Linked DNA regions of Arabidopsis thaliana. The protein of the gene in region 3 interacts with the protein of the main gene of each other region in a pairwise test. Each region holds a gene or a part of one and is shown on either strand. Other genes may lie near its edges.

Region 1 (12,115 bases), 9.9 Mb from region 3:
AAGATAAAATTCAATGGAACCGAAAGAACAAAAGAAGGTCCACTTTGGTTAAAAATCTCTGCAACCACAATGATGCCCACTCTTTGTGGTTCAGATTCTTCATTCTTCGATCCTCTCAAATCTCTTAACTACTCCTACCTTCAAAAAACTACTTCCAATTTCATTTTTGGTTATGGATAATATCTTATCATATAGATCTTGTCAAAATCAGACAGTTCATGAATAGATCATTGGTTGGAAAAATTGATATGAGAAAAGAACATTGACCCACTTGGTAGCTTGAAAGCTACTTTTAGAAAACATATTGTGATAAATATATAGAGAGCTTGTGTCAGCATCAGTAACATTATACATATCACTATAGTAGCATAGTGTAGTAGATTTTGTAGTGCATTGATAAAGTTGGAAAAGAAAATAATAAGCTAGAAACTTAAGGGATCTTTGGTTTCTTCATATAGATGCACGAATGTTGTTGGCTTTGTAAAATTATATATGTAGGTGCATCCGAATGCAAAATTAGATATATTTTGAATGTAATGAAAACTAGAGTTTGAATGCAATCGTAGCATCAACAAGACAACAATGATCAAACGTCTAAAATATCATTCTTTGAATTAAAAATGAAACAAATTTAAAACAACGTCCGATTTTATATATGTTCACCAATTTCATAAAGAATTCATGAATTTGCCATCACTCGAGAATCCAATTTTCTTATTTGTTATAAAAATGTTTACTAGTGTAGTTTTTAAATTAACAAAAATTTATTTGACACTAACTAATATCCAAAAAAAAAATAGAAATAGAAGAATCCTACTCGATGATGTTTTATTTGACAAAATTTTATTTGACACATACTTCACATTTGATGATGTTTGCTTTTTACAAGAATCCTACTCGAATATATGGTTAATCTTTAGCAAGAAAATAGAAGAATAAATGAATAACCTCTCCCGAATCTGTGAATAGTCGATGAGCTGTTTCCAAACGAAATTTTTTTCTTTTCTTTTCATCTAAATGTGCATTGAGAGTCATCATTCGGATTCAACATCCAAATTCAACGCCATGATGTTGGTTATGAATTTTTAAAGAATACAATGCAATCTTGTATCAAAATAACTAAAGACAACATCTGTTTAAGCTATTAGTTTTTTTTCTTATGATCGATTTAATTTTACATAAATTAAATAGCTAGAAAATAATTTGTATTCAATGAATAAAATTTTATGTGAAGATAAAATCGACATTGATTAATTGGCTGCCTAGATACCGTTTACTTTGATCATCAAAAGTATTCTTCCACCGATTTATAAAAAATCATGGCGACCTAATAACTCTATACCCATACCCTTCGAATGGGAACATATTGATGGGTACATTTCGTTGACAATAGAATCTTAGATATTTTATTGTAATTACCACAAGAGTTTTCTTAGATATTCGTTGCAGAAAAAAAAAACAGGAAAACGATTTATAATTTTCTTAGATATTTATATATCCAAAAAAACAAACAAGAATTGTAATTACCACAAGAGTTTTCTCTCTTTCTTCTACAAATATGATATATATCTATAACTCCTCTAAAACATATTTATCTATCTCTCTATATAATCTATACACAAAGATTGATGGTGACAAGATCATTGGATTGCTATCTCCAGTTCTTCTGGTTTAAATATCAGAAAACAAGGATCAAAGGATAATGCATTAACCAAATTTCGAAATTACTACTTTGATGAGCAAATGTAATAGAATTTGCTTCTGATTTTGATGATTGATTGATGTCAACCATGTTGTTTCAATGAATCTTGCTTAGTAATGAAAACCGAGGCTAGATGTGTTGTAGAGACTCTGTGATTGAGTTTCCCAGCTTCCAGATGGCTGAAATAGAGAGATACAGAGACAGGTTACTTCACTGACAAGGAACAAAAACTCTGACAAGTTTTTCAGTTTCATATAAAGCTGTACTTACAGCTTCGATAGATGTCGTTTGGTTCGGGTTTATCGCAGACAAATCTAGAGATCCTTGCTGGTCTAACGGAAACAATGGCACATCAACCATTATTGATTGCTTTGAAGCAACTACATTTGTAAAGTAAGCCTGAAACTGAAAATTTCATAACCCTTAAGTTTGTTGAGCAATATCAATATGACTTTGAGGGTCTAGACAATGTGTTTTCACCTGTTTTACGGATACATCTTCCACGGCAAGCTCTAGTTCCGGGTTCAAGACAGCAAGTTTCATCGACAGGAACTGCAAAGTATGGCTCTTTAAGAATTAGACTTATTCTCTTTGGTTAATAGTGAAGTTAAGTTACAGAGAATCATGGTTTCATTGCTTACCTCGACTTGTCTTTGGAGACATTGAACATAATTGATGATCTCATCAAGCATACCAGCTTTTCCTGTGACCTTATTGCATCCAGGCACAATATCTTGCAGATATTTCATTTTCTTGCTGATCTTTTCTCTTCTCGCCTGCAAATCCAAATCCATTCAGAAACCCTAGATATATCATGATTCTTGTATCACAAGAAACTTATTTATTTTTATTACCCTTTCTGCTAAGCTGTGTCTGTCAGTGGCTTGGCCTCGACGAGCTCTCACGTGGATATAATCTAATTTCTGATTCTCTGAAGCTCCTTTCGATGTCTCCTTTGAAGTGTCTGAAGATGCTTCAGTGTTTCCCATGTTTGATTTTCCTTTCATGCTTGACTCTGTCTCAGCCTCTACTTTGATCTTCTTCTCTGTCTTTTGCTCTTCCCTTGTCTTAACCTAAGACATTATTAATAAAAAATATCAAAAACCATGTCTCAAAACAAAGTTTTTATCCAAAATTTTGATCTTACAAACCTCTGGTTTTCTCTTGTTCTTCAAGGCAACGGCTCTGGTTTCTTCACCGGTCTTCAACAAAACCTCCATTGTATCCACAGGTTCCATATGGCAGCTACTTGTTCTTGAAATGGATTCATGTGGAGGACCAAAACCCATGTTATAGTTTGGTCCAAAACCAGATCCAAGCATTTGAAATTGGCTGAAACTACTCTCCAACAACTCATCATTGTTGCTTCCATGGAACTGAAGTATCTGAAGAAGTTCAGGTGAATTATTACTGCTATGGGACACAACTTGTTGCAGTTGCTGTTGTTGCTGTTGTACCCATTTAAGCCTTTCAAGTACAGACATGTCCATAGAGTTTAAGGACAAGCTTTCTTGAGAGACAAGACCTTCCAACATATTGTTCTCTGCAGAAATCTTTCAACTTATGATCTTTTAAAGTGAGACCAAAAGTACAAAACAAAATAGAGAATGGGAAAAAATGCAAAAAAGCTCTGAGTTATTTGGTGGGTTTAAAGCAAAAGAGGATTTGCTATAAATGTATGAAGAAGTAGAGATTTAGGTTATGTAATATTGTTTTTGGGTGGTTGCTTAAAAAAGATGAAAGAGTTGGGAGAAACTAATCCATTGAAATCATTCTTCTTAGCTTTAAATAGAAAACAACATTGACCCACACACATAAGGTCCCCTACTTCTTATGTTTTTATTTTATTTTCCTTTATAAATGTAGAAATTTCATTTACTTATTTGTTATCTCTTACCTCTCTAGAAATAAATACTCTCTTACCAATTCAAAATGGTACCACACGTTTTTTATACGCCACAACTTTTTTATACGTATCCCTTAAAAAATATATAGCAATAACAATAGTTTTCTATTTTACGTAGATGTTCAACATAACATTTGTATCGGATTTGAGACCGATCTTTTATGATAAGTTTACGAAAATGGTCGTACTGTAGCTATGTGATAGTCACAAATGACAGTGAGATAGATTAAACGTTAGCGTTGGTGGATAAATCGGGTCCATCGTTTAGAGACACTTGACTATGACTAGGAGAAAAAAGAGGCTCAAGAACAAATTGCGGAAAATAGTAGTAAAGATTCGGTATCTAAGAGAGAGAGGGACATAAATTGATAAAAGAAAAGGTTGGGAGCAAAGAAGGTGAGAGGAGAAGGTGTAGGGTCTAAGTGACATAACCCACACCATGTGGGCATGTCCTTATGAACACTAAATTTAGAGGTTCTTTATCCCTTCTTTGTGTGTGTTATGTTTTCTTTTTTTTCTTCTTCTTTTTTGCCCTTTCAAGTTTATGAGAGGAGCTTTACAAGGAAAAAATAAACAATGAGTGAGACCTTAACATATATTGACATTTGGAATAGTCAAATTAATTGAATTCAATCCAAACTAAAATTCAGAAAATTGATTGTTTCTATAAAACTTACTTACAAAGTAAAACCCAAACAAACTACATTGAATCCATGTAACAAAACTTATATTAAAAAAAGTTTGACCGCAAAATTTGCATCATGACATTATTGACATGTAGTCTAATAGTTTGTATTTTGTGTTGTAAATTGTAATTGTATCAGTACAAAAAAAAAAAAAACTGAAAAGAAGAAAACATCGCTAGAGAGAGGGGTCGAACCTCTGACCTTGTGGTTAACAGCCACACGCTCTAACCAACTGAGCTACTCCAGCTTATTGATAACAATAATATATAACTAACTATATTCAGTTAGTTTGAAATAAAGACACAAGACAAGATCATGCAAAAGATCTTGTCATCTTGGGTTTTCCATAAAAGAATCAAACGAAAATCCATGAGTAGATAGATAATACAGCAAGACAACAAAGAACAGTATACCACCAACCATTGAATATTTTAGAAATTAATCTATAACATGACATGTTAATAATTAAAAGCGACATCAAAATATATTTAAAATATATAAAGAAAACAATGGGTTTGAAGATAAGTGATTGGAAGGTAGGAGACCATTGCTTTTGATCAGAGTGTTTGATCATATTCTTCTGTCTACTAGAGTGTGGGCTTCCAACCTAAAACCAATTGGCAATAGGTGGAGAGACCCATATCTTATATATACCACTTAAGATCCTACTTAACTTCCGATGTGGGACATTGTCCCTAATACGCCCCCTCGAGATGATGGCTCTTCTAGCCATTGATCTCGATATGTTTGGGCATGGATCGGCGGGCCAAGTATTGGGCCGGACCGATGTGGATCGGGTTGAGTATGTGCGGATCGGGCTCTGATACCATATTAGAGTGTGGGCTTCCAACCTAAAACCAATTGGCAATAGGTGGAGAGGCCGCTATCTTATATATACCACTTAAGATCCTACTTAACTTCCGATGTGGAACATTGTCCCTAATAGTGTCCTTCTCCATTCACTGTTGTAATACTATTAAAGTTATAAGTTTACCCACTTCCAAATTTCAATCACATTCATAAGAACTGCAAAACGAGCGATTTTTTTTTTTTTTTGGATTTAAGTTCTTATAAGTTTTCCATTGTGAAAAAGTTAGCTAGTTATGTTAATATTATACATGTAGCAATATAGCACAAAGTCATTACTTTCAATCTACATAGTTGGACCAAATTGAATCAACTTTATAACATTGGCTGCATTAATGATTTTTTTCCTAAAAAATACAAGTCATGATATAATTCTTAAGGTTTCTCACATCTAAGATGTATCTGTCTAACAATATTAAGTTGTTTCTTTTTGATAAAAAGTTTTCTAATTTGTTTACTGATAATATCAAACAGAACCGTTGTAATAACAATATCGATGCCAGTAACAAAAGCTTATATGTTTTTTTGTTATGTGTAACAGTCTGATACACAAATAGATTACTTTTTTTTCAGTGTTTTCACGTCCAATTCGGACCCTCCAGTTCGACCGGTTAACCCACAATCCAAACACTTCTCTGGTTTGGGTTAAGTATTAATAACCGGAAATACTTACTATTGGACTCAAGAAAGAATGAAAGGGTGTGATCCATTTCAAACCCCATATTTCTTAATATGTTTTGATTTTACAGCAGAGAGATTTGGACAGGTTCTTCCTCTGCCATTTCAGCATCATGAGGATGATAACAATAATGAAACTCTATCTTGCGTTAAAGAAGAGAAACTCTCGGTGTTATATCAATCCCTGTGATAGAGATTTGGATTATAACTAAGATTGAGCCCTAAGTGGTGTTGTGGACCCCCTTCTTAAAAGTTGATATAGAACCACTCACTGTTCTTGATTTTCAGTTTTATGAAGAGACTTGCGGTTTCTTCATTGATGAAGAGAAGAAAGTCTTCGTGGTTTTTGAGTTAGATGAATCTCAAGCCTACAAATATGCTTACATCATTGGAGAGAATATATGCTTGAAAAAATTGGATCTTGGAGAAGTTAGAACATTTTCTTGCCCAATTGTGTGCTCCAGCTCTTATGTTCCAAGCTAAGTTTAGTGAAAATCAAGGAAGAGGAAGAGCAAAATTAGGAAAGAGAAGAAGTGAAAGCGAACCAAGTTAACAACAAGGTCTAACACTACACTATTAGTCAAAAAGGAAACAACAAGAGTTACAATTTATTAATAACTTATAACTCTTCTTTGAATTAGAAAGAAAGAAAATAAAAAAAGCTCAACTTTCATTCGTTTTTTTTTCCTTTTCTTTTGCAATGTCCTTTAAACAAGACTAATATAATATTAATTTTGGTCATAAGTAGTATTTTGAAAACTCTTGTATTATTTTCTTTTGAGCTTGAGTTGGAGACAAGGTGATATGTTCGAATTTTGAAATGAAAGCAATCGGCATGATGAACAGATTCAAAGTTCTAGTACTCATAGTAATACCTCAAAGTGTAGCATCCAATGTTGGGCCTTATATCCAATGCAAACATATGAAGTCAATGTTGCGCTTACATTAATTTTCAAAGTAGAGGAAGTAACTGTCGACTACAAACAAGCTTCGATGTTGGGCCTTACATCCAATGCAAACATATGAAGTCAAGCCTAGTGTAATCAACAGTGCGTGTGAAACAAATGTAACAAAATAATAATAAATGGTCACAAGTTCCTTCTATGACGACATTGTATTGCATGTCATATATCCAATATTCCAAGTGACCAAGTCGAAATCCAGTTTTATTTATTTGGACAATCCTTCTTTCATTCATAATTTCCCAACTTCAACGAGGACTAAAAAATTAAATTGTATTAATAAATATATAGAATTGAAACACTATAGTCTATAAATATATATAAACACTATACTACAAACCTCAATATCAACATTTACTTATTTTTAATCAAAAAAATAGGCACCAAATAAAATACCCTTCTATCCGGACGAATCCTTGTGCTTCTGATTCGATTACGAGACAAATTGAATTAGTTTATATCTTAAAATAAAAAGTATTCAAAAGCTTAGAATAATTATGATCTGGACCAGATATGGTAAATAACTAATGCAAATTCCTTTGCAAGAAAAAGTTGAAGAACTTATTGTTGCCACACTCCCACAACTAGTTTCATAGCGCCACCACCAGTAAACATGCATGTGTTTGATTCCTAAGGGGTTTTTAAGTCGACATTAAAAAGGCTAAATTGTTCAAATAGTTATCTTACAGATTGTTTTCTCATGATGGCTAAGCCAATGCTCTATGAAATTTAACTAAAAATTATATATTAAATTTTGCTGTCGAAAATTCGATAACCAAAAATCTACATAAAACTCTTGGATATATGCTATCTACTAAAAACAAAAAAAACCATGAAGATAACATTATGCGGGTTTGAATTTTGGATGATGATACAATGAACATACCAATCTGAACCACTAGATTTAAATGTTTTGATCAATAAATTGTACAATTAAAATGAAGTTTTTAACAAAGTTATTACTTTATATATATTTTAAAATTTTAATTCTTATTTTATGAAAAAGTGAATAAAATTCGTTTTTTTCGTTTCTTTAAAAGGTGAAATCATAGTAACCACTGTTTCTAAACAATTTTCATTATCTTCAAATTAAAAGATTCATTTTTTTTTATTATTTTTGTTAACCGAGGACTATCCAAAGTCTTACTATATAATCTTCCAAAATCTATAAAAATTTCAGGTCAGTGAAAACGTTTACGGATGGTCATAGATAGTTGAAATTGGGAAAACTCGAACCCTGACAAATAATATTAAATTTGAAAAAAAAAAAATCAAGATTCCATATAATTAAATGTTTTATAATTTACGTGGGCATGTGAGTACGAGGGAGCATCTTAACAACATCGACTGTGGAACTTTTCAAAGGGATCATGTAAAGTTGGAATCTGATCAAATAAAATAAGAAAACCTTACTTTAGCAGCGAAGTTTGGTCCATATAGGCTATAGAACAACAACGAATACCCAATACGAGTAGCACATGACGAGGTGGATCATAGTAAAATGTTGATCACAAAACAAAATTTAATGAGTGAATTAGGTAGATGACACAATTGAATTAAGAAAATAGTAATGTAGTTTTTTTTGTTAGTTTTAATTTTATCTTTCATTTAAATGTTATGAGAGATGTGAACTTTATTTTGTAGCATGTTATTATGTCATGTGGACCTTTATTTCATTTATTAGACGCATATATTTGTTGTTATATGCATGTACGTTTACTTTTACAAATGAATGTCTACAGCAAAAAAAAAGAACTCTAGATTCTATAGCTCCATCCCATAAAATAGATGTCCACTGGGAAGTACATTTTAAATATAACCTTAATTTTTGTAATTAATTACATGACAATGCCATTAGAAAAATTTAATCAAAAACAAAATCCTTTAATGACGTCATTAAGATTACCAAAATCATTTAACTATAATATTCATTTCTTAATTATAAAGTTTATTGGATCTAAAGACGGGTCATCAAAGATTTCCTAAACTGAAGCAAAATATACCGAATATTCAAATATATATCTGTTACCAAATTATAAACAAATAAGTTCGTAAAACAATTTAATATTTAATATATAAAATTAATTAAATCTTAATCACATAAAAATTAGCACAAAAAAAGTATTCAACAATTAAAAAATTATCAAATCTCTGTGTTATATAAGTTTTTATACTATATTACAATTTCTACAAGGAGATTCTGAAATGGCAGAGGCTTGGTTCGCTACGTCAATTCTAATTCAATTTGTTCTAAACTTCCTCGGAGCTAAAGCCTCGTGATTCAATTATGGCTCTTTGCTGCTATTAAGGTGATAGTATCTGCTTAGCCCATAGTAATAAGATGGTAGTGACCGCTTATCCTAAGTCTTCCGCTGGCATGGGTGTAACTGTCCTTCCAAAGTACCTCAAACAGTCCTCTTACGAAGCCTATTCCCGGCCTTACTCTGCATTCTTTCTTTCTGGTTGTACTAAGCAGGAGCGTTCCCCCTTACTGGCTAGGCAGCTAGTAGATGCTTGGCTTTCATTCCATTCCATTCTGATGATAAATGAAGAAAGAGGTGTCGGACATCCTTTCCTTAGTAGGGTTTCTCCCTAAACAAAATACCGATTCAAGCCCCTTTACATGTTGAGATTAAGGACGAATTTATAAGGTATGAGACGACCCAGAAAGCACTTAATCATGATAAACTTAAGTAATTTAAGCTAACTAATATATTTGCTAATCTTATACCTATCAAAACCGACTATCGTTTCTTATCTCTATAGTATTTTTGCAAGACTTTTTGGTGGAATTGGGTATAAGTGTATTCGGGTCATATGGTACATTCTTCTATTAAATAAATATGGTGCACTCCTATGTTATTAGCTAAAATGTTTAGATTATAAATATAGTCATATCATAAATAAAATTAATATTAATAAAATAAATGGCTTTTTGGCAAGACGGATTTGGAGGGACGGGTTTTTGAATCAACATTAATAAAAAAATAAAATATAATTACTCCACCGTTTCAATACGGGTTAAATCTTTAATTTATTATTTTTTAAGACCAGTAATATGAAACATATCAAATCATCCTAATTTAGAAAAGATTATATAAAACCAAAAATGTTATGTAGTATACTGATATGTATAATGTTACTATATATAAAATTAAACTATAAAATATAAATGTATTAGATAATGATACAATTTGTAAAGCTTTTATATATAATAAATAATTCTTAAATTTTAAAAATTACTACTTTATAAAAAAATACGGGACGGGTAAAGAAATTACAGAACGAGTTTTATTTTGGAATTGGGTTATATGGTAGATGTATTTGAATCAATATTTATAAAATTTTAAAGTATTATTAATATGCTGTTTTAATAAGGGTTAAAACTTCAGCTTTTTAACAATTGTCTCATGGATTCGTGGTATAGCGTTACTTAATAACAATTATAAACTGTAAAATATAAATATTTTATAAAAATAAAACTTGCAAGTTTTAATATATTACCTTTAAAAAATAAATCGTTCTGCGGTATACCGCGGGTTAAAATCTAGTTAACATATAACGGAGAAAATCACTCATATGATAAGTGATAACAGTTGATTGAAGAATAAAATCATTGAAAGAATCGTTATTAATATACACTCTTCCGTTTGATTTGTTGAATCAAATGTGTTAAACATCCGTTCAAAGGACAAGGCCATAAGCGCCTGTTCAAGTCGAGGATCGCAAGGTAAGTTTCCTATACCGCTACATGTGTACGTGAAATAACATACTTAAAGTATGAGGTTATATGGTCTGCGAATGCATGAACCAAAACCAATGAATGATGGTCATTATCGACGACAATGATTTTGAATCATAAGCGAGCAAGACATGACCTCAGAGGTGGCAAGGAGATCTGAGTATCCGAACATTGCGAGTCTTAATGACAATGTGAGATTTCACATGGACACGGTTTCTCAAAATAATTAGTATTTGTTTTCGTGTTTTTTTGTCGTTATATGTTTTCAATCGATTATGTGTCAAACTCATACAGAAATATGATATTACAATGCTTAGAACATGGTTATAAGTGATAATTATAAAATATCATTAAAAATAATTTAATATTATTTATAATATTTGTTTAATAGATTTTTTTTTTTTCCTTTTTGGTAAATGCGACCAATCAGAGGATATCACGTCACATGATACTGGTATCAAAAACATCATTGAGCTGATCAAGTTCATTTTAATTATTTTATTAATATAAAAATAATTTTTGGACTTGTGATACTATAGAAATATCACTCATGTACATGGTCTTAGTTTCCCCAAATGTACACTTGTATTATTGAAACTAGAAAAGAACCCGTGATACTAGTAAATCTTTTATTTATTATGTTGTAATTTAAATAAATATATATTTAGATATTCAATTCAACAATTAATATCTCTTGCATTTTTATTTATCAAAAAAAAAAGAGTACAAAGCAAAATATTCAGAGAAAAATAGAGTCCATAACTCCATATATGTTTGTTTTCTTAATGTCATTTACTCAATTATTTTTCATATATAAGTAATAACCAACATATAGCTGTCAAAAAAAAAAAACAACATGGTTGGAAAATGGTCACAAATAAAACACTGCTAAGTTTGCCAAAAAAAAAAAAAAAAAAACTGCTACATGCAAGTGGAGCTACCACGCAAAGTTAGAGGCTTAAACACATTTACTAAAAAGTAAAACTTTAGGTACGAAAGTTCCATAACTTCTCACCTTCTCTGTAGTCGAAGAATCTGAGGATTGATAAATGTTTTAAACAAAGAAGCACAACAAGCGTAAGAAAGGCGCAGAAGATCTCTCGAAGATAAGATCCCAAGATTTGGAGAACTAGTCCGATTCTCTAACCATGTTCAAAGGTGAAAATTAAAAAGAAGACAAGAACACCTGAATATTCTTTGATAAATGTACTTCTTTTCACATCTCTAGGCCAGCCAGTAACTTCGATTCAAGAACTCAATCATCCCAAGAGATCAAAGAGATTTACACAAGATGAACTAGTTTACAAGAGGCTGCACAAAAGAAAAGAAAAAAATGGTTTGGTTAGTGAGGAATCATCTTGATTAATTTTTCATTTTAATAAATGAACATATCATTGTCAAAGAATGTTATTCCGTGGCACCCACGAATGAACATGTTTTAGAGGGCTAAAATCTCTGATTATGCCAAAGTACATCTTTTTTAGTACTGTGTGTCGTCTGAGATTTGTCTTATTGTCTAATAATTGGAATCATGTTCTGACGTACACCTACTAGCTAAAGGCACCAGACATA
Region 2 (11,150 bases), on a different chromosome or scaffold from region 3:
CAAAACTACTTCACCATATCCCTAAACTTGATAAGTTTTCTCCACATCCATGAACCTTTGCTTGTCGATTCTTTGATAGACCAAAAACTTTCCTTCTTTAAAAGATAAGTCTCAACCCATTTTACCCACAAAGAATCTCCTCGAGAGAGTATCCTCCATATCAGCTTTAAACAACTCACATCATTCGCCTCCTTTATAGACCTTAAACCGAGTCCACCTTCTTTCTTCGGCTTACAAACATCGTCCCAAGCTACCTTAGCTTTGTGAGAATTTAAATCCGGACCAGACCAGAGGAAAGCAGAACATAACTTATCGATTTCTCTGATACATTTTCGCGGGAGCCGGAACGCAGCAAGCCAAAAGTTACAAATGCTCCATAGGACCGAGCTTATCAAGTTTAAGCGACCGGCGTAGGAAAGAAATCTAGCTGTCCATGACCCAATCTTCTTTTTAAGCTGTTCTATAAGAGGTAAGTAATCTGCAGCCGTTAGGCATTTGGTTACTAGAGGGAGTCCCAAATACCTCACCGGTAGAGTCCCTACATCAAAACTGAACCGGTCTTTGATCCATTGGTGAGACACTTCTGAAGTTCCCGCTAGATATATGGTTGTCTTCTCCATACTAATTTTTAAACCTGAACTTTTAGCAAAAACGTCAAAAACTTTCACAATACCCTCTATAGATCGAACTTTTCCGTCCGAAAGGATCATGAGATCATCAGCAAAGCTCAAGTGGGACAGACCAATACTTTTACACCGCGGGTGGTAGCCAATTTGCTTTGCTTCTGTTGCTTGATCAAGCATTTTTGATAGAACATCCATGCTTATAACAAATAGATAAGGGGAAAGAGAGCAACCCTGACGTAGACCTCTTGAACTTTGAAAATAGCCTGCCAATTCTCCATTGACTTGCACCGAAAAAGAAGCCGTAGTAACACAAAGCATAACCCAATGAACAAACTCCGGTGGAAAGTCCAAAGCCAACAAAACGTTTTTAAGAAATGACCACTGAACAGAATCAAAAGCCTTCGAAATGTCGATTTTAATAGCACATCGACCCGAAATTGTGTCCTTGTGATAGTCCTTTACTAACTCTGTGGCTAATAGCAGATTCTCAATTAGGAGCCGGTCTTTTACAAATGCAGATTGGTTTCCCGCGATGAAATTCGGGAGAACATGTTTCAATCTATTTGCAATGATTTTTGAGATGACTTTATAAATGACGTTGCAGCACGATATCGGTCGATAGTCTTTCATTTCTTTCGCCTCCAGTTTCTTTGGGATGAGAGCTAGAATGGTAGTATTAACACCCTTTGGTAGAAAACCCTTTTCAAAAAATGATTTGACTGCCAAAACAAATTCTGCACCAATTATATCCCATGCCTGCTTGTAGAATTCAGAAGTGTAACCGTCCGGACCCGGAGATTTATCATTTGGCATTGAGAATAAGGCTCCCCTTATCTCTTCTGCTGAAACTGTTGCAGTGAGCATATCCTTTTCCGCTGTGGAACAACGATAAGGCAATAGAGATGTTAATTTCTCCACTGCTATTCCCTCATAATCATTCGGGATTAGCTGAAGAAATTCTCGAAAAAACCTTTCAGCCTCGTTCTTGATATCATCTTTAGTTGTGGCAGTACTACCATCTTCCTTCTGAATTTCGCGAATAGAGTTTTGAGCTGCTCTAGCGGTTGCTGCGCGATGGAAAGTTTTATTGTTTTTATCCCCAACCTTTAACCAATGAAACTTTGATACCTGCTTAAGATACTTCTCTTCAATGCTAGCTATCCTGTCCCAACGATCATAAGCTTCCGATTCTATTTCCATAGCTCTTTGAGATGGATTTTGTGAATTACTCTGTTGCGCCTGACAAAGACTGAGATAGGTTTCTCTCGTCCTTTTCACCAAATTGCCCATTTTTTCCTTCGCCAAGCCTCGAAGTTTTGGTTTAAGAGCCTTGAGCTTCTTAGTGAACCGGAACAGGGACGACGTGGACATGTGTATAGGCTCTGTTTCTGTCCAAAAATTTTCCACCAAAGGTTTAAACTCCTCCATATCGGCCACAGCATTCACAAACTTAAAAGGCTTATTTCCTCTCACTTGTGCACCAGAGTTCATATTTAAAATTGATACGACACCGTAAATGGTCAGAACACCCTCCCGCTTCAAAAACATTATAAGATTGTGGGTAGACCATCTTCCAAGCCTCATTCACCATAACTCTATCCAGTTTTTTCCAAATTGGGTCATTATCTCTCTTATTGCACCAAGTAAAAAGGGCCCGTGAGATGCCAAGTCTGAGAATGAGCAGTAGTTCACCAAAGACTGAAAATCTCGCATACCGGAGGTAACTGCTGGGTGATCTTCCATTCGAGAGTGCTCATCCATATCCAAAATTTCATTAAAATCTCCAAAAATTATCCATGGTTTATCACGAATGATCGGAGAGTCCATATGATCGGTGAGATGATTTTAATATATGAGTACTTGGAAAACTCAGCCTCGATAAGTATATATTCGGTTAGTGCCTCACAGTTTAAGTAGTTGTATTAAGAGTTATTGAAAAGAAACTAATGTGATTTTGGTTGTGACATTTTCTTAGACAAAAACCAAAGCTCTAAGCTAAACTGGGAGAAGAGGGTCCAAATAATTAATGGAATCTCTCGGGGACTTTTATATCTTCACCAAGATTCGCGGCGTCCTATTGTCCATAGAGACCTAAAACCGAGCAACGTCTTACTTGACCAAGATATGGTTCCGAAGATATCAGATTTTGGGATGAGTAAACTCTTCGACAAGCGTGCGACAGCAGCTAACACAACAAAGATCGTCGGAACTTAGTAAGCAAACAAACTATCATCGTTACATTTGAAAATAAAGCAAACACTTTACAAAACCTCACAATTGTGTTTCTTGTTGCTTGACAAAGCGGCTATATGTCTCCGGAATACGCGGAGGAAGGGATTTATTCAACAAAGTCAGATGTTTTCAGCTTCGGAGTCTTGCTTCTTGAGATTATATTTGGGGTTAAAAACAGAGACTTTTATAGATACTCGGAGAACGACGAAAGTCTTATTACATATGTAAGTGTAATAATCATCCAAAGCATTTTCGTCTTTTTTTTATATTTTTTATTGTGATTGATATAAACGCTTAAAGCTTTGTTTATGATGAATAGATATGGAGGAATTGGAAGGAAGGTAAAGGGCTCGAAATCATAGATCAAATTATCCTTGATTCATCAACATTTCAACAACACCAAGTTAAAAGATACATACAGATTGGTCTCTTGTGTGTTCAAGAATGTGCTGAGGATAGGCCCACGATGCTATCAATCTCTGTCATGTTCGCAAGCGACACAATAGAGATCGCTCCGCCTGGACCGCCTGGTTATTTAGTCCGTAAAAGTCAACTTGAGACTGGTTCCTCCTCGTCACGAAAGAAGCGAAACGAAGAATCTTGGACTGTGGCAGAAGTAACCTATTCGGCCATTGGACCTCGGTAGTCCAACGACGTGTTTCGCAAGGAACTTTATTTATGGGAGAAAGATTCTAAAAGTTGTTTCCCCGTGTAGGAAGTATCTTGGAAATTGATTAAAAAAAAAAAAACATAACAGAGTACTGTAATTTGTATTTTATATTGTTTTAGCCTGTTTTACTATAAAGAAAACATAACTTAATGACGTTTACACTAACTTAGCTAAAACCTCCATAACCAAAGCTTCACTCTCTAAGCTTCTTGAGTCTTTGGTTGAAATAATCAACAAATCTCCACCTCGACAAACGGTTACATCTAATATTCATTTACCTGCTTCTGATGTCATTACACAACTTTGTCCTTACACAATATGTCAGTAGGATTGACCAGAGAGTACCAATCTTGGTCATATCCCTTATGAAGTGTAGCTCAACTTCTATATGTTCCCGTTTCATATTTTTAGACAAACATATATAGCTCTTGGACTGTCACAGTTCACTTCATATTTTGATTGCAAAGAACCAATTATTATAGCAATCTTTTTATCCAAATTGTTTCCTTGATGCTCTCTGTAAGAGTCATATTCATATATATACTCTGCTTTTGTGGTGGATAAGGACAACGTGTTGCAAGCATCATCTCCAATTTTCAAGATACAAAAGATTGCTGTTAAAACAGAGAAATAGAAAACAGAGTGTTTGATAAGTTTGTGTGAAACTTGTGTCGCTGTGGAGTTTGGGGAGAGATCACCTTGGAAAGACTTCTCCAAGAAGAATTCATACATGATTAAAGGGAAGTAAAATGAGTTTACTTGTTAACCTTAGTTCATGTTCTTAGATACAGATGTATTTGAATTTACTGTAGAAATTCTAAGTATATCTTTTACTTCTTGAAGTGATCTAATAAACTTTTGTTGCAGCCGAGGACTAGTGGTTGGTTTGAAAGAGAACCAACCGATACCTTGTTAAATATTGTGTCGTTTCGTTATTGCTCTATTGTTTAAATCGTTTCCGCTATTTAATTATTCTATTTAGTATATCTCAAAATTTTACAATAATAATTCAAAAAGGGTACAAGACCTGAAAATTGTATCTATGTAACAAGAAAAAAAAATTAAGATCGTTTTAGGTGGAAGAGTGTAACAAAGCTAGTCTCTGAATGCTCTCCTTTTTCATGTAATTCTTCTTGTGATTATTTTTATAGCTATATGGCTTAAAATTAGGAGTCGGATTTGACCAGTCTCCTAAACCCTGAAAGGACCAAACCGGTATAGCTATATGGCTTAAAATTAGGAGTGATAGATTTGACCAGTCTCCTACGCCTTGAAAGGACCAAACTTGTCTAAATGTATGTACATGGGTGCATGTATATCAATATGCGTATACGTGTGTTTAAACTTTAAACTACATGCATGTAGAATTATGAGATATCAAATAAAACTATAACGTTGATTTTTATTTAATTTCTTTGTGTGGACGTCCTAAAAGGCAAAACTTTCCTTTAGATGTGTATAAACGTTTTTGTGACAGTTAAGATGGGGTTTCTTTTCCCCTCCAAAATGGCTAAGAGTTTATTTGATTTTGTCTTCTATTTCTATTTTTGCTTTTTATCTCTATTTTGAGGTTTAGATGATTTGTTACCTCAAAAACAATGTGCCAAATAACTTTTTTTATTCCGTATAAAATTAAATGCTCGCAACTAACAATGTCCTCTCGCAATTTTACTGTCCTTGACTGACACAATCGAGTTCAGACATCACAATCTCTGTTTTTTTTTTCTTTGTTAGGGAGAAAAAAAGAAAGATTCTTCTCCACCAAATTTCATCCCACTGGTTTATTTTAATAATGCACCTGCTAAGGCAATGCTCGTGCAGTTCTGCTACACACATATATGTCGGAGACTTTTGACTATGGAATTAACCCTATGAAATTCGTATGTCATTAAAGATCAAGCCCATCTCTTTGAATTTTACATAATAAGACGATTATGTTAAAAATATAATTATTATAGAGCGATCATTTAAGATTACATGGATAGGCTTGTCAAAAACAAACAAAAGAACAAAAAAGATTACATGAGTAGGCTTCTAATAACGGCGGCTTCAGGGCTATCTTCATCGACAGATTCGAGAAGCTGAGACAAACGCTCGCTCAGATTGTCAACTTCTCTGTTCAAATTTCGTATGTAATTGCATGTCTCTTGCAATACTTTCGAGGCTGATGCCTTCAACAACAAAAACGAAATAAAATCATAATCATTATAATATATGTTTTTTGAACCAATGCATGCGCTTTTATGCGTTTGCAGATGCATGCAAGCTGATGATTTTGATGTAATCTCTTATGTAAATATGGAAGAAAAAGGTTGTGAATATTGGTATATATGTTCCTTAATGTCCGGAGTCAAAAGTTCCGACTTCTTTTTTCTTTCTTGTTTGATTTTAGTGTCCACTCTTCTTTTTACAAAACTTTTGTTCTTTCCTTTTTTGGATAGGTTTACACGATGGATAATGTTAAATGGTCGTTATAAATGAATATATGCATATATTATGCGTGATACCTTATCAGAACGACGTCGTTGACCAATCTCCGGCAAAATTTGACGGAGCTTAGATACGAGGTCAATCATTTGATTATCGGAGATCCTTGGAGCACTTGAAGATTGCCTTGATCTTCTGTTCGACATGTTCAACAATGTGGCAAGAAAAGACCCTAACTAAGTTGTGGATTCTTCTCTCTTTCTTTACTTCTCTCACACTAGCTCAAACAAGTTCTATTGAGAAATAGAAATAGAGATATAATGAGATCGGCTATGTCTATGTGGCAAGTAGGTGTAAGCTTTTATGATTTTATAAGGTTTTTATGCTGAAAGGAAACGACCAAGAAGAAAGAAAAACTAGAGAGCAAGAAGAAAATAGAGAAGAGAATGAGAAAAGTGTTTTGGGGTTTTGAATACACTTCAAATATAAAGAAATTGAGAATGTGATAAGAGAGATTTAAATAGGCCAATGGACCACAAGAGAGAGAGAGCGACGGAGAGCAGCAATAAACCTCGACAATGATGTCACGGGAGAAGAAAGCGATAGATTGAATGCCCTTAAACCACAAAACTTCGAAATCATTTTTTATTACAGATTTCCAAGCCGTATATATACATATCATCAGTCGAGACTATTACCAATCATTATACGAAGGTAATGGCGGGATTGAATTATTTCACAACGTTTTCAATCATGGTTAGTTAGTTATTGTGTATAGTTCAAATGATACACAAGTTTCAAGATTCGTAACTTTTTAGGATTTTGTGGAAAATAAGTCTTGAAATCGTCCATTTCTACTTTCAGAAAATATAGAATAATTTTACAAAGTGAAAAATACTACGCAATATAACATTTTTTGCTATTGTCAGATTTCGTCAAGTTTTAAAAAAATTGAGAAGTATTATATCAAATCGAAGCCCTCGAGACAAAGAGTTCAACTCTTCTTTAATTTAGATTTTTTAAAATGTATGTGATCGTGAATACGTTTACAATATATGTATAAGGAATATATTGCGTATTATTTTTGTTTTTTTATGATTATTCTGCATATTTTAGAAGTAGAGGGTAAAATTACAAAAATAGATTTCTCTTAGGATTTGTTTTACCAAAACCCCAACTTTTTATGCCTCAACTATCCAAAAAAAAAGAAAATGATTATGACTAGAATGGATCACAAATATACATATGCTTAGTTATTGAAAATTTTACAGTATAATTCCTATAGAGTGGATAAATAAATGGGTACTAAATTTTTTGAATAATTGGAGGAGATTTGAATAGTTAAATGGAGGAAACGAAAAGTTCCCAAAGATGGGGTTGATGAAGGTCAAGATAAGTGTTTCATGTTCATCTAACATTGTGGCCCTTCATCTGCAATTTCACAAAAAGGCAACTACCATGTGATGACATGACTTTTCATTCAATTTTTTTTCTTCTAATATTAGAACTAGTATTATCGCCTAAATTGTCTCTCTAAATTTGTATTCCACAATATCTAGGTACAGTTTGTATATTTATCTGTAAATCTTGTATATTACCAAACTATATATTTTAAACTTGTATAAAATATATAGTTCCAAACTTGTATAAAAAAGCATAGAGAGAATTATGTAAATTCTATCTTCCATACTAACTACATTTGTTTTAGAAAGGAAGAAGCCTAATTATTGACTCCTATGGAACATTGTTTTCTAACTGCTAAGCCATAAATAGTTTCACCTCATATGTAAAATATTTCGTGTGATAACTTTTAAAAAATTATAGAATGTCAATGTAACTTAAAAATAGTAGATATAAAACAAATATTTTCTATAAAAGGATTATTGTTGATTTTGCCGTTTTCATCAAAATCTTTTGAAAAAGTCATTTTTACTAAAATTTTACGAAATTGTCATTTTAGTACTTATAAATGTACGTATTTACGATATTATTTTTACAAAAATAAGTATTTTATATTAAATGCTAAACTTAAAAAACAAAAAAAAAACTCGACTAAACCTTAATATAACGAATAAAAGCTATGCTAAATTTCATTTTTTAGACTGAAAAAGAGCAAAATCCACAAATTATTTAAAAAATGACAAAATCCATAAATATCATTCAAAAAATGGTAAATCCATAATTAATTCTTTTATAAAACGTGAAAAGGAAACCAAATGCTTAAAAGAAACGTATCTATCGGCTTTAAAACTTCGTTCAGACCATTTATTTCAAACTTCTTCGCACACTTACACTTTGCCTAAAATAATTTATTTAAAGAATTTTTTTATTTTGAAGTGAATAAAATCGCATGTCTCATATAACTTAATTTAATTGTTCGATTGGTCCATTATTGGTTGAGTATTAATTTATATAAATGTTCACAAAACATCGACTATGTCACGTGTCACCACCATGTCTCGTGTTACATGCTGCCCTCGGGTCCATAAGATCAAAATTTTAGATATCTTGTTGTCCAATAACATTATCAATAAAGATCCGACAAGTATGTAACAGTCGAATACAATTATCTGTTTGAACATATTATTATTATTATGAAAGGTTATATAAATTTCGAAATCCCTCATTATCCCTCAAAATATTTCGTTTGTGTGGTGTATTAATTTATCACAACATTCTATTTCATTAGTAATTCAATAACAGTTTAATATATTCTCACCAACAAGAAAATATAAGTGAGAATGGTTCTCTTCCGACAGGTTTGCATGACATGGATCGGATTATATTCATAGTTAACGAAATCAATGTTACGTTACGTTACTTATTAAAAGTACTTTTTGCTCAATATATACTAAATATATAAGAAAATTATTTTCTCCATCGTTGTGCTTGTTATATAGCCAAACATTTCATTACTCTAACCGATATCATCCGACATGAAATTCACACTTATAATTCAAGAGAATGACAACAGTATAGTAAGTACACCATATATATGTCAATGATCTATCCACCACAAAAATTCAACGAGAACATTAATTCATACAATTTTTTAATAAAGCACATAATTAAAGAAAACATTTATCAATTTTTCTTATATGTGTGAATACAAGAATATATATAAAAGTGTGTTGGTGTGTGTGTGTGTGTTTTATATATACAAGATTATTAAAGAAAGTGACCATTCTAATAAATTGCAAAGGGAGATTTTACATGTTAGTCCATGTGGGTTCGGGTACTAAATGTTTGGTCTCATAGGCTCCACAATGTTTTTGTGTCTACTTTTTCGCAATTAATTCACATCTTTACAAACATGTTGTAAAAAACACGAGTAATCATGTGGAAATGAAGGACTCGTTAAATAAGTAATTTATAAAAACTCACTTTGGAAAAGTTGAGCAATTTTTTTTTTTTCCAATGAATTACAAAAACACTATAGTACGATAATATGCATTAATGGCACCAATCATATCTTCGCAGTGAATAAAATAACAATTAAAAAAAAACATTGAAAAAGTCGTCAAAACGGCATCTTCGATTCTATGTTCAAAGATTTGAATTATTCAATTATATTTATAAATATTTGATCAGGTCGAAATATACAACACACATAAGATGTCCAACAATTATATTTATAACTGCGAAATGTTTCTCTGGATTTAGCATGAGTATTCGAATTACGCTGGAAATGTCGAACAAATTCCACGGATAACATGTCCCTTGATAAGAATTGTTTCGCCATCATATATTCACATAATCACATCACAAACAAAGCATCGACAGATTGTGTAGTGTGTGTGCACACACGTAAAACGGTAGACTTTTGCCGTGTTACTACAATGGCAATTAAGAAGATACTGATACATCTATGTAATTCTATCTATTTACAGTAAGTATCATTAAGAAAGTACATTAAATTTAATTCCATATTTTCTAAATTCAAATTGAAGACTCTAGGTAAATAGGGATTCTTGTCTAAAATGCCGTTTAAAAAAAAAATCTAACAATAATATTTTGAATAGTTTACGAATTCTGCCATTTTTTAACACTTAAGTGTACATATTACGAATTGTTTTTGCAAAAATATGTCTTTTATATAAATTAAAATGATTAAATCCAAACGAGTAAAACGCATCTTAAATCACATTTTTGTTGTCTTAAAATATACAAAATCTACAAACTATTCAAAAAATGGCAAAACCAACAATTAAGTTAAATTAAATACTTTACAATTAAGTTAAGGATCATTTTTACGGAGTGACTCCAATTTATTAAAAGAAAATACTTCAATGGTAATAAAGTTTTTTTATTTTGATATATTTATCTAGTTAAGAAAAAAATCATTTTTACTGAGTGACTCTAATTTATTAAAAGAAAAGACTTCAATAGTAAATAAATTTTTTACTTTGGTATATTTATCTAGTTAAAAAAAGGAATTTAAATGATATATCTACACGAAGATCTGGATTTTTCACTCGTATATTTTTCAATAGTAGGTATCAACTCTTAATAATAAGGAATACGTAACACATTATGGTCCAGGTATAGACCAATATATATTTCATGGTCCCCTTTAACCATTTTTCTCTCATAATTATTACACAATCATGCTTTGCATAGGCTTCTCCAAAACAATGAGCCTCATGCTCATCAACAGCAAAAAAGCTTTACTATCTAACTAAATCTATTCATTATATTGTTTTAGTCTTACCTTAGATCGGGAATTACATCACTCTACAAATGTGGTGGGGAAAATTACGTATGTTGTTTACATAATCTGATAATCATAAATAAGAAAAGGATATCTTATTTGAAATCGTTTAAGAGGGGGTATTGGACGCATGAGTTTGATAGAATTTAATAGAATCATAAATTCTGGTGTTATTCAAGTAGAGATTTTACAAATTCTTTTAAACTCTTGTGTTATTAAACTTACTCATTTCTTAATTCTATTAATTGCAATTGTTATTCAAGTTTATGTTGAAATTGTATGCCATCGTTACTTGACAGGAATTTAATAGAAAATTTAGTTTAAAATGTGAAGAACAAATTCTCTGGTTTTGAGTTGAGATTTTGATAGAATATTTCAACACATCCAAAATTCATCGTCTACTTTTCTCCTTCATATGCTTTTCTCAAATCTGAGGGAGAGTGTTATTAATCTAACACATCTACAATTTGTGATCTCATGATCC
Region 3 (10,941 bases):
TTCAGATACGAGGAAAATCGACCTCCAATGAATGGATTTTAGCAGTAAGTAAGGATATAGACGTGACATGTTGTTCTAGTAACCAACACAAAATGGTTTATAGTAGTAAGTAGCTCATATTCACTTTCTCTTTAGGATCTATGTAATGAACCACTGTCAAGCAAACTTTTAGAAAAATGTTTCTCTTTGTAATTTAGTTAACAGGAGACTACAGACCATTTGAAAAGAAAAGCAACTACACATCTTTAGCCTAAAAGCGAGGATAACCAATTACCTTAAACAAACAAAAACAACCAAAAACATCACAAAGTCGAAACCAAAGCCAAGCAAAATCTTGGGCACCTATATGACTGTGAAACTGCAAAACGTTATGGTCTTCAGCTAATCCTATGCTCCATATTATCGAATCACATTCGTTTTGAATAGCATCCGAACAATGTCGCTGCCACTAACCAGCAGCAACCACTGCCACTGTAATTCTCCTTCCAAGTAAATCTTTCCATAACCATCGCAAGCAACATCCTTTGTAGCTCTGACTCCATTAGTAGGCTCCAAGATCCTCTCGTTCAACAAAGCTAGCGTTTTCTTAGCTTCTTCAACCTTCTTCAATTTCTTCTCCATTCACTCAAAGCTTCCTCTCAGACTTGCAATTCCCCTAAACCTCTTCTCAATATCACTTCTCACTTTCGTCAAACTCTCTACTTCCTTCTCATAACTCTCAAAGCTATCACCTTTCTCCATTAACCATTTCTTCAATTCAGCCACCTCTGTCACCGTCTCATCTCGCCGCTCAACGCAGTGATAAGATCATCCTGAATACTCACTCTCAAGCTCCACAGCTCCCGTCGATATAGATTCTAAAACCTTCTTCTCTTCTTCTATTTGCTTCATCTCAATCTCCATCTCTCCACACCTCTGCTTCATCTCCACTTCCAGACTTCTCATCTCCTCAATCTCTCTCAGTAATCTCACCCTCCTCCTTCAATTCCAGATTATCCCGTGTCAATTCTTGCTTCTTCTTCTCCAATTCCTTGAAATAGAATTCTATTTCAATTCACCAGAAAAAAATGATTTAGGGTTTTAAGTTTTAACTTTTAGTGAAGAAGTCGTTCCGAGGGTAGTTGACACTTGACAATATTGCCGCGAATCCTTTTTTGTACGGACCTCTTAGTGTTTAATGGGTTCAGGCCCAGTTATGTTAAGCCCAATTATAACATAACTAAGGCAATCAAAAAACATGTGGAATCGTAATCTTTTAGGCTTTTAGCCCATACAGGATGTGATTAGTTATAATCTATCAATGGTTTTTATTTTAAATTTTGGTTTGGTAAAGGATGTTGAAGTTAACATTATTGATTACAACTTCGTACTATACGATGTTCAACCTTAAATTCATCTTTGTAATGTAATTTGGATAGAGAGTAGATAGGGTTGGTAAGAAAATTATATCTTCCCCGACTTTCCGCTATGTGTGGAGTAAATAGTTCCATAGAGTTCGATATAGCTGCATTGTTGTGGGTCAGAAATTACGTTATAATGAATACTAAAACTGATATTGTTTTTTTTCTAGCGGCAAATGTGTTTAAATTTCTGTGTAGATGCTAGCTCTAGTACTTACACGACTAAAAAGATTTGTCTTGTATATGTATGTACAAGGAATATACATGAACTCTATTGTTGGACCACGGGAACTCAAATCTAGTAAGTTCATCATAAGCTTAAATAAATATCGACCGACTTTGGAAATCTTTGTTATAATAAAGCATGTGAAATGAGCTCATCCAGATTTAAAAATGGGCCACGTAACATTAACTTTCTCAATATCATTAATGTCAAATCTCATATGCAAGTGAAACCTCGTGATCCAATTTAATATCTATACTATATGGCGTCCTACTAAAATAAGTTATATAACTACATTAATTAATGCTAATTTTCGTTAATGAACACTTCTCATAACCGTGAAACGGCTTAATAAATAAATCAGAACATTAAAATTAAAGATTATACTCCTACTAAAGAAAAAAAAAATTCGAAGAAAAAAATGTTGAGTCTCTTTCCTCATATATCAAAGCTAAAATCCCATGTTATAAAAAAGGAAATAAAAGATTTGAAAAAAAAAAACGTTTTTTTTTGTTTTTAGGAATCGAAGAAAGAAGAGCAGTCTTGGTGTGATAATCTTCAACCTCCGAACTTCATGTCTTCTTGATCTATGCGTTGAAGAAACGAAGTAAGGACTTTAATGGTTTTGATCTGACATTGTAGAGACAGAATGTAACCAGCTGTCTCTTCGAAGAGCGCGTCCACACCAAGCGCCGCTCCTCCGGGGATAATCCTCTGCAACGCCTCAATCTTTTCCTTGACCTCATCTTCTTCTTCTTCTGCTTCTTCTCGGTCTTCACGTACGCTTGCGTTAGTCTCTGACAATCTCCGTTTGGTTCTGCGCTCGAAACCAGCGGCGCGTGATTTCACGGTGGCTGAGCATGACGGTGACAGAGAGCGTCTCGTGGCGTCGGGAGTGGCTAGAGTTTCTTCCATTGAAAGAAAGAGAGAGATGAATGATGAGTCTGAGAGAATAATGAACAAGTAAGGAATGTGGATATGTGTAACTGTGTGTGTTATATATATATATATGAGTGATGATGGATTTAGTAGACAAAAATGTTGAAATGTGGTCGGTTCAACCTGATTTTATTTTGGTTTGTTGCGAGTTTAGAGACAATACTCTATCGGTTTGATTTGGTTTGCTATGCTTTATGTTACATTGTTTGCTTACATTAGTGAAAGGTTCGGTTATGAACGAATTTTGGTTTGGTTTGTCTATAAAAAACGATGTAAAAATTGAAACGATATAAAATAAATTCTACATTTAGAAATTGGGAAATGGTTAAATGAGCGGTATTGCCATCAAAGCTGGGTCCAGTTGTGCGTTATTTTTAATTTTATTATCCTCGTGTTTCGGATTGTGGAGATTTATTTAATTATCTCTTACTTTGGTTGCTTCCACAGATTTGGATCTTTAGAAGAAGAGCTTTCACGCGCCATGTCGACTGGTTTAGACTTTAGTGGACTCATCACTCACTTAAGTGGATCAACCTCGCATCTAGATTGGATTTTTTTGTTTGTTTGATAAATGAGATTTGGCACGTTAAATTTGTTTGTTTAAGAGCTAGACGTTTGACATAGTAATTAACTAATTATACAACAATGCTTTATTATTGTATTAGGATATGCGTTGTTAATACAAGCCGGATTACTTTTAGCAAGTGTCTCATTTATTTATCAAGCCGGATTACTTGCTAAAATATTATTCGAACTTTAATTTAAACTCTAAATGGTTTGTGATCTGGTTTAGCCATAAATGTAATAGCTGCTATACGTTGTTTTGCATAGTTACCAGTCTTATTTTCTACAACAAGAATAAAGAGTATAAACTATTTTATGTGAGCTTAAATTTCCAAAAGAAAAATTCAAGTAGACGACGACAAACCCTATAGTTATGCACTTATGCTTATAGGCCATTCGGGTGGTGCCTGGTAATGGACTAATGCCTGATGGTATAAGAGTAAGTTTTGTCGTAATTACGTAGTACGGACGAAATGAAAACGACCACGCGCGTGGAGATAAGGAAGGAAAAGAAGAAGGATACAGTGAGACACTACTTGCATGGGAACAAGGAAGAGAGAGGAGAGGACATGTGCGGGTCACATGAATATCTCCATCTTCAAAGCCCCATTCCCATGTGCTTCCTCCTCTCTATACATTATGTACAGACTGTAATATAGTATTATTATTAGATGGATGAGATCAAATAGATCCTCTAAGAGATAGTGAACTTGTTCGTACAATTGAGGACCTAATCCTACTAAGATCCACATGATATCTATCGGGCATGGTGGCCACGTGTCAACCCTTTTTTGGGTCCCCCCCACCTCAGTGACCTCCTAAATCTGTCCTTCATTTTTTTTTTGTCAACTCCTTTTTCTTATTAAAAGAAACTCCAATTAACATCCCATATTTCTTACCACGTAAAAACAACAATCTCAATATATCTATAATGTTAGAGAAATGGCCACTATATAACAAGAAGAAAGCCAAGGAAGTTTAGTGTTATTGGATTCGAATATAGTGTTACATGTTTCTAGCTAGAGATCTTTATAATATACATCTTTTATACATAAAACCGTTATAGTAAATCTTACTTAATGTTGGTTCCATAAATGAGCCCTCCGGTGCATTTCTTTTGTCAACTATATGATATAAAAACTAGATAAAGACTTAATAAAAAATAATTGCATTAAAAAAAAACAATTGCATTTTTGTAGGTCTTTAATCCAAGATTGCAAATTAACCTAAATCTACTCAAGAAAAAAAATTTAGTAAAGAATAATGATTGACATCTAATTAAAAGAAATAATGTATGGTCTTAATTAAGACAAAGATCAGGAACAGAATAACACATTTCTTTTACGTCTAGGGTTTTTAGTAATACTAAAAATTGTTAAGATGTTGTTTTAGAAGAAGAAGAAGATGGAAGAGAGAAATAAAGAAAGAGATGATGTTTCCAAAGAGGGGACGAAGGAGGGTTTGGTTTCTCGGGATTGAGATTTACAAAAATCGGGTGCCTTTCGCATTTCACCATCTACCAAACTGACACTCTCCCCAATTCTAGTATCTATTTATTTATGTATTTGCACTTACATTAAATATGTTACAAAAATAACACACTCGAAATTTAATTTTAGCTTTTAGCCAGCTTTCACATTCGTCGTCTTGGAATAATCAATTCTATGTCCTTTTGTATCTTGTTCGTTGTTTCTATTTTTTCCAAAATAACTTTTATTTAATGACGAAAACCTAAATATTTATATCTAGGAGGAGTTTGAGATGATTCCCTTTCACTATTTATTTTTGTTGCCACAAAAATAAAAGAGAAGAGTTTGGTTAAAGACAAGACAGTATATGTTTTTTTAAGAATTAAGAAAGGGGAAGATTAAGAAAGAAAATATGTAATGTTTAGCTAAAAAACTCCAAATCAAGGGAAGTTAATTAGTTATCTTCTCTTTTTTTCTATAAAGGCTGGAGATATGGGCCACACAGGTGGACCTACCATGATGGGTGATCTCTGGGACAATGCATACAGTGGTTTTTGGGTCCACCTCTAACCTTATTTGTCTCCTCTCTTGGCCTCATTTAGTTGCATTTTTTTCAATTGTACATGCATTTTCACTTGCTATATCTCTCTTTTGCTTTAAAACTTATTTTATTAAAAACTTTATAATCAGAAAGAAGAAGAAAGATCCCAAATTTTTTTATTTTTATTTTAATTAAAATAGAAGTGAATAAATAATCTTTAAATGATTTTTTCTAATTTTATTTTGATATTTCTATTTTGAGATACTATTTATTGAACAGCAATCTCTCATTGTGCTCATTTATTAATTTGTAGAAGAAATAACTTGTTTAGGAAGAAAGTAAGCGAACTCAACTGTTTACACAAAAATATATACACAAATTGGTTGGTTTAAAGATATGATCAAGTGACAATGCACCTTTCTGTTTCTACTGACATTTGGAAGAACAAAGTGGTGCCTGTGATATGGGTTCCCACCACCACATGCGTTTGGATGTGCCATGAAACCATCATCATCATCACCATGCGCATCCACACTGATCCATCTTCTGTAGCCAGCGGTTCTTTTAAACGTGAAAAACTCTCAACCTTTCTTGTTATATATACCAGAATCTAACATCCATTTATTTATTTGTCGGAATAGAAAAAACAAACAAATGATGGATCACAATTAATAAAAAAAATATTTTTTGCTCATATGGTTTTGTGTCATAGACAATTTTCTTTTATGACATGAAGATGGAAACATACAATGTTCTGTGTGATGAAAGCCCAGCTTAGGTGGAGAACTAGTACATCTTTGACATACCGTACCGAACAGCTCCAACTTTCCGGTGAGCAGAACCACCAGGAGCAGCTGCTGCAGCTGCCGCTGCGACTCCTATTCCGGCAGTTGCCTGTAACAGATTTGTGTCGATTATGATCCGGTCACTGATGTTTTCGGCTTTGTTCATTCCCGTTCTAGCCATGATAAACGGGTTGTTGTCTATGTTGATGGCTACATCTGGTGCATATCTATTATACTGAGATATTTGTCTTGCCTGCTTCTCAGGCTCCATAGTTGTTCTTCTCTCTTGCTGCTTTCCCATGGCGACTGTTGCAGCAGATTGTTGTGAAAAGGGGAGATTAGTGCTCCGGATGAATGATCTCGGGTCATATGCATCTCTGCTGATTCTGCCATTGTCGAAAGGTGCAACCGGGCCCATGAATGTGCTTGGTTTGGCTGCTGCGTGTAGATAGATGTTTTACAGTTTATAGAGGTCAGTTTGGACACATTGCTGTTGGATTCAGGATGAGTGATTAAAAGTACCTGAGAGGTTTCTTTGTTGTGCTTGTATTGTTGCATGATTAAAAGGAATGTTTTGAGTAGTTTCAGGGTTCAATGTGTTTGTGTTATTCATAAGTTTTGGTTGTCCTCCTCGTGCTACTGCGGTTGAGTGTATGACCGTTGATCTGAAAGCATGCAAACACAGAGTCAGAAGGACATATTTTTATAGAAATTAGTGTTCAACACAAGAAACAGATAGTCACGGTCTTATGATTCCATCTTTTTTATCCTTGCCATGTCAATGTATATTAATATACAACTAGTATAGCAGTTGCATAACGGGGGTCAAAAACAGAGGAGATCACCGAAACCAGATCAAGTGACAACAGACTTTACAGAAAAAATGAGGATATACCTGGGAAGAGAGGCATGTTTCCTTTCTAGAGGTGCCACAGGGCCGGTTTTACCACTGTTTTCTTCAAGATGCGCAAATTGTCTTCTAAATTGATCAACAGCACTGCACAGTATACATCAATGTCAGGGACTGGGTGTGATATGCAATGCTAGCTCAAGAATGTAATCAACAAAAATTACGACCTTGGGTAGAGAAAACTGGCTTTATCAGCCCCGTTCATATGATCTTTAAGCAGCTGAGGGTGGTACTCAAGTATCTCCCTAGAAATTAGCTCTCTTATATCCTCTTTAGTGACCTTTCTTCTCTCGAACTCAAATTCCATCTTCGTGATGGGTTGACATGAAGGCTCCCTTTCCACTTTTGCCAATCCCTTAAAATATGGATCAGCAAGTGCCTGATTCAAGTATACAAGAGTAGTTTAGTGATTCACTCCAATAGAAACCCCAAATGCATGATACTCTATTATTAGAGAGAGAAAACAATCAGGAAGCCGAGAATTCAAGATTTGAGATAGTTAGTCAATATGGAAGTTGAAAAGCACCTCTTCAGCAGTTGGCCGGTCTTTTGGATCAAAAGCAAGAAGCCTCTCCAACAACTTCAGAGACAAAGGATCTGCATTTGGGAATTTCTGTGCAAACGGAATGGGTGGCTTTTTCCTCATGCTTGTTAAGTACCTCCTTGCCTTCTCATTCCTCACCTGTATAACATCATAAAAGCAGGGTACTCATCACTACTGGTCCTTGCTTAAGATGTGTAGAAACTCAATGGACTTCGTTTAGCAAGAAGATCAATACCCGTGAGATGGTGTCCAGGGAAGGTGTCCCTAGCAGATCAGTCATAAGATCCAGCTGGTGAACCACATTCTTTCCAGGGAAAAGTGGTTTACCCATCAACACCTCCGCAAAAATGCAGCCTATACTCCAGATGTCAATTGCGGGTGTATACTACAAAGCCAAATCCATCAAAAGTTATATCGCGGCAACACACCAATTAAAAGATGTTATATAGAGAACAAATGAACACCTTAGAGTAAAAAGATCCACAAAGCTCTGGAGCTCTATACCATCTGGTAGCAACATAGTCCTGTAAATTCAGTAGAAAATAATGTAGAAGAGTATCAGGTCCTGCAACGTAGTGAATAATATTTAGACCAACTTCAGTTTAAGAGAAGGAAAAGACTCTTAGAGAGCCATCTTGTCAAACGTACAGTCCAGAAGATTGTTGTGGGGGTATCATTGAATGCAACCCTTGCCAATCCAAAATCACAAATCTTAAGTTTACAGTTTGCATTTGCCAATATGTTCTTTGGTTTCAGGTCTCGGTGGTAGACATTAGCTGCAACAACCAAGATTCATAAGATAATATAATACAACAAACCAAACTCGACAGCTGAGTTAAAGTTCAGATATATTGGGGCAAACTTCAAAAGGCAAACATTTAGCCAGACAATGGAAACCGCAAGAATCCAATTCAGTGCATCAATGTATGAGATAGTACTGTAGAATGTAAAGTCCTAAAAGACAAATCTGACATACACTACATTTTGCAAGTGTCCAAGATTTTCATCTACAGAGAGAGCGATATATACACACAGAGAGATTTGAAGATGAAAAGACTATTGCTAGATGCCGGATAAAGAGAGACCAAAAGAAAAAGACTACCTGTGTGAATGTACTTCAGTGCACGCAATAACTGATACAGGAAAAACTGGTAATGCTCTCTAGTCAAATCATCATTGGCTTTAATAACTTGATGAAGATCCGATTCCATGAGCTCAAAGACAACATAAATATCTTTGAATTCTCTTCGTGAAGGAGGAAGCATAATGTGCTTAATTTCAACTATATCTGGATGCCTTAGGAGTCTAAGAAGTTTAATCTCACGTAGAATCCTCGCAGCATCAGAAATATGCTCAAAAATATCATGAATTTTCTTTATCGCGACTTTCTCACCCGTAAGAGTGTCTATAGCTGAGCAAACAACTCCATAACTGCCTTTTCCAATAACTTCTTGAACTTTAAATCTATTGGCATCGCCATAGTCAGAAAAGAACTCCATCTCCAGATTATTCTGTTACAAATACCATTACTTCCAAGTCAGAAACATTACAATAGAGATAACACTATACAAGAATCAGATGCAGAAGGTTCTCTACTGATGCTACAAAGGACGCCTAATGAAGGATCAATGCAATTGAATGTCAATTTGCTGATGAAGAAATAAAAAAAATGTCTCAACAACACATCATCTTGTCTTGAATGATGACAATTATGCGTTGTTTGTTTGATGACACTTGTAACGTTCATTGATCATAAACAGAGTTGTCCAAAACGGCAAAAAGATTAAAGACAGTAACAGGAAACAAACAAGATTAACCGAAACACACACATAAATATCTCAGACAGAACAGATAGTATCGGATGGAATAATTGGAAAAAAGGAAGAGTTTTTGTTTCACCTTTTTGCGATTATCTTGCTGCATCGTGACTCAATTGAAACACAGACTAAAAACCCAGGAATTAGAAGAACCCTAGAATTCGATCTGAATTGGGGGGAGGGAAATAGAAATTCAGATCAGCCGCATTGGCCCCATCGACCACTACTCCAAATGGCGAAGCTAGAATCCGACCTGGTTCTGCTCCGGCAATCGATCACCGACAGAGACAGAATCGCAGGCGAATTTCTCATTCACCTCTCTAATTCACCCAATTACCCCCAACGAAATCGAAACAACAACAAACAATCGCAGTTCAAGATAAATCGAGGAATTGAAGATAGCAGAGTGCGAACAGCATTGCTTTAGACGCACGTTTTCGTCGGCACGAGATCTGATCACCGACACACAAGGGATACAGAGAGAGAGAGAGAGAGAGAGAGAGAGAGACGAAGAAGTAGTGAAAATGAAAGGAGAGAGAGAGATAAGGAAGGAATCTAGACGGAGATTTATATATAGAGGTTAAAGTGTCGCGTTTGGTAAGCTGCTTTGGTCACTGTGATCCAAAAAAACAACCCATTAGTAAAACGAAAAAATAAATTATTTGATCAAGTGTTAATAAATTAATTAGGACATTATTGATCTGGTCATTATTAGTGTATGATCTATTTTTGATCTTTATTGCCATTCATTCATGTCTTCTTTATCCAATTCTTTCGTTTTGTCACGTACTTATCTCATAGATATAATGTTAATAGAATGTTATCATCTTTATCCTTAAAAGCTTTTTTGCTAATTTTAGTTGCTAAAACTTTGTTTTATTCACTTTATCATTTGCTATATTGTATATACTGCTAAATTATATTTTCAATCTATATTTCATCATCTTCATTTTTGTAAGGAATTTTTAGCTTATTTTTTGTATTAAGTTTCTGGTAATATGATTCTCAATTATTTTGCTGTAAAAAAAAATATATATTATTTTGTTTTTTTCCATTAATATTGTATATCAAATAACCTTCAATTAAAAACAACAATATTAATTTAGCTTTTGGTTGTGGCATGAGTGTAATATAGTAATATTAGGGGTAGAAAAAAAAACAAACTCTCACTTAACTAGCCCAATGGGCCATGCCATTTTTTTAAAACACGCAGGGCTTTTCATATCCGAATAGTTAACGCCACGTCATCTCTGACGCGTGAGAGATTTGTTGTCAAATGTAATAAACCAGCTAATCATTAGTCTGTCTTACTGTCTCCTTCTTGTGGTTAAAATCAAAAGTCAAACCAGCTCACATTAGTGTAATTATTTAACTAAATTATAAAAAAGATAATCATATTTTGATTAGCTAATAACTAAACTACTTGACGATTGAGCGAATCTTATATTTAGTCTTACGGGATTAAACAAAAAATATCAATCAGACCTTGTTACGTAAGCACAAATCATAGTGTTTGGTTGAAAAACGAAGAATAATACATTTTTTTTTATAGTGTGTTAGTACTGTTTTACTTTATACTTCCATATTCTTTTTTCAATAGACATGTTTTTTCTAATCTTCTTTTTGGTGTTAATTTGATTTAAATTAAGTTAAATTTTTGTTGTTTTATGTATTTGGCCAAAATGATATTTGCATCATAAGGTTCATGTAGAAGAAAACATATCTTCATTTTTTTTTACTTTCTAGTCT

What was found.
Region 1: the proteins of PAR1 (region 3) and HBI1 interact in a two-hybrid assay, tested with the Arabidopsis thaliana proteins (one study listed by BioGRID).
Region 2: the proteins of PAR1 (region 3) and PRE1 interact in a two-hybrid assay, tested with the Arabidopsis thaliana proteins (one study listed by BioGRID).

The regions. Positions count from the first base shown.
Region 1 is NC_003071.7:7,951,210-7,963,324, forward strand, and holds HBI1 (basic helix-loop-helix (bHLH) DNA-binding superfamily protein), read right to left. Parts: upstream 3,531-12,115; 5' UTR 3,238-3,530; coding exon 2,854-3,237; intron 2,776-2,853; coding exon 2,557-2,775; intron 2,479-2,556; coding exon 2,344-2,478; intron 2,255-2,343; coding exon 2,183-2,254; intron 2,108-2,182; coding exon 1,973-2,107; intron 1,882-1,972; coding exon 1,827-1,881; coding exon of another isoform or gene 1,813-1,826; exon of another isoform or gene 1,432-1,812; coding exon 1,337-1,431; 3' UTR 1,195-1,336; downstream 1-1,194. Other genes in the region: AT2G18320 (F-box associated ubiquitination effector family protein), read left to right, coding at 5,011-5,100, 5,419-5,454, 6,128-6,322. UniProt on the Arabidopsis thaliana protein: Atypical bHLH transcription factor that acts as a positive regulator of cell elongation downstream of multiple external and endogenous signals by direct binding to the promoters and activation of the two expansin genes EXPA1 and EXPA8, encoding cell wall loosening enzymes.
Region 2 is NC_003076.8:15,952,700-15,963,849, reverse strand, and holds PRE1 (basic helix-loop-helix (bHLH) DNA-binding family protein), read right to left. Parts: upstream 6,483-11,150; 5' UTR 6,162-6,482; coding exon 6,036-6,161; intron 5,700-6,035; coding exon 5,547-5,699; 3' UTR 5,291-5,546; downstream 1-5,290. UniProt on the Arabidopsis thaliana protein: Atypical and probable non DNA-binding bHLH transcription factor that integrates multiple signaling pathways to regulate cell elongation and plant development.
Region 3 is NC_003071.7:17,834,650-17,845,590, forward strand, and holds PAR1 (phy rapidly regulated 1), read right to left. Parts: upstream 2,970-10,941; 5' UTR 2,539-2,969; coding exon 2,182-2,538; 3' UTR 1,767-2,181; downstream 1-1,766. Other genes in the region: AT2G42865 (uncharacterized protein), read right to left, coding at 622-789, 865-945; MPK20 (MAP kinase 20), read right to left, coding at 5,923-6,359, 6,444-6,586, 6,817-6,918, 6,999-7,210, 7,358-7,513, 7,611-7,760, 7,840-7,899, 8,024-8,151 and 2 more. UniProt on the Arabidopsis thaliana protein: Atypical bHLH transcription factor that acts as a negative regulator of a variety of shade avoidance syndrome (SAS) responses, including seedling elongation and photosynthetic pigment accumulation.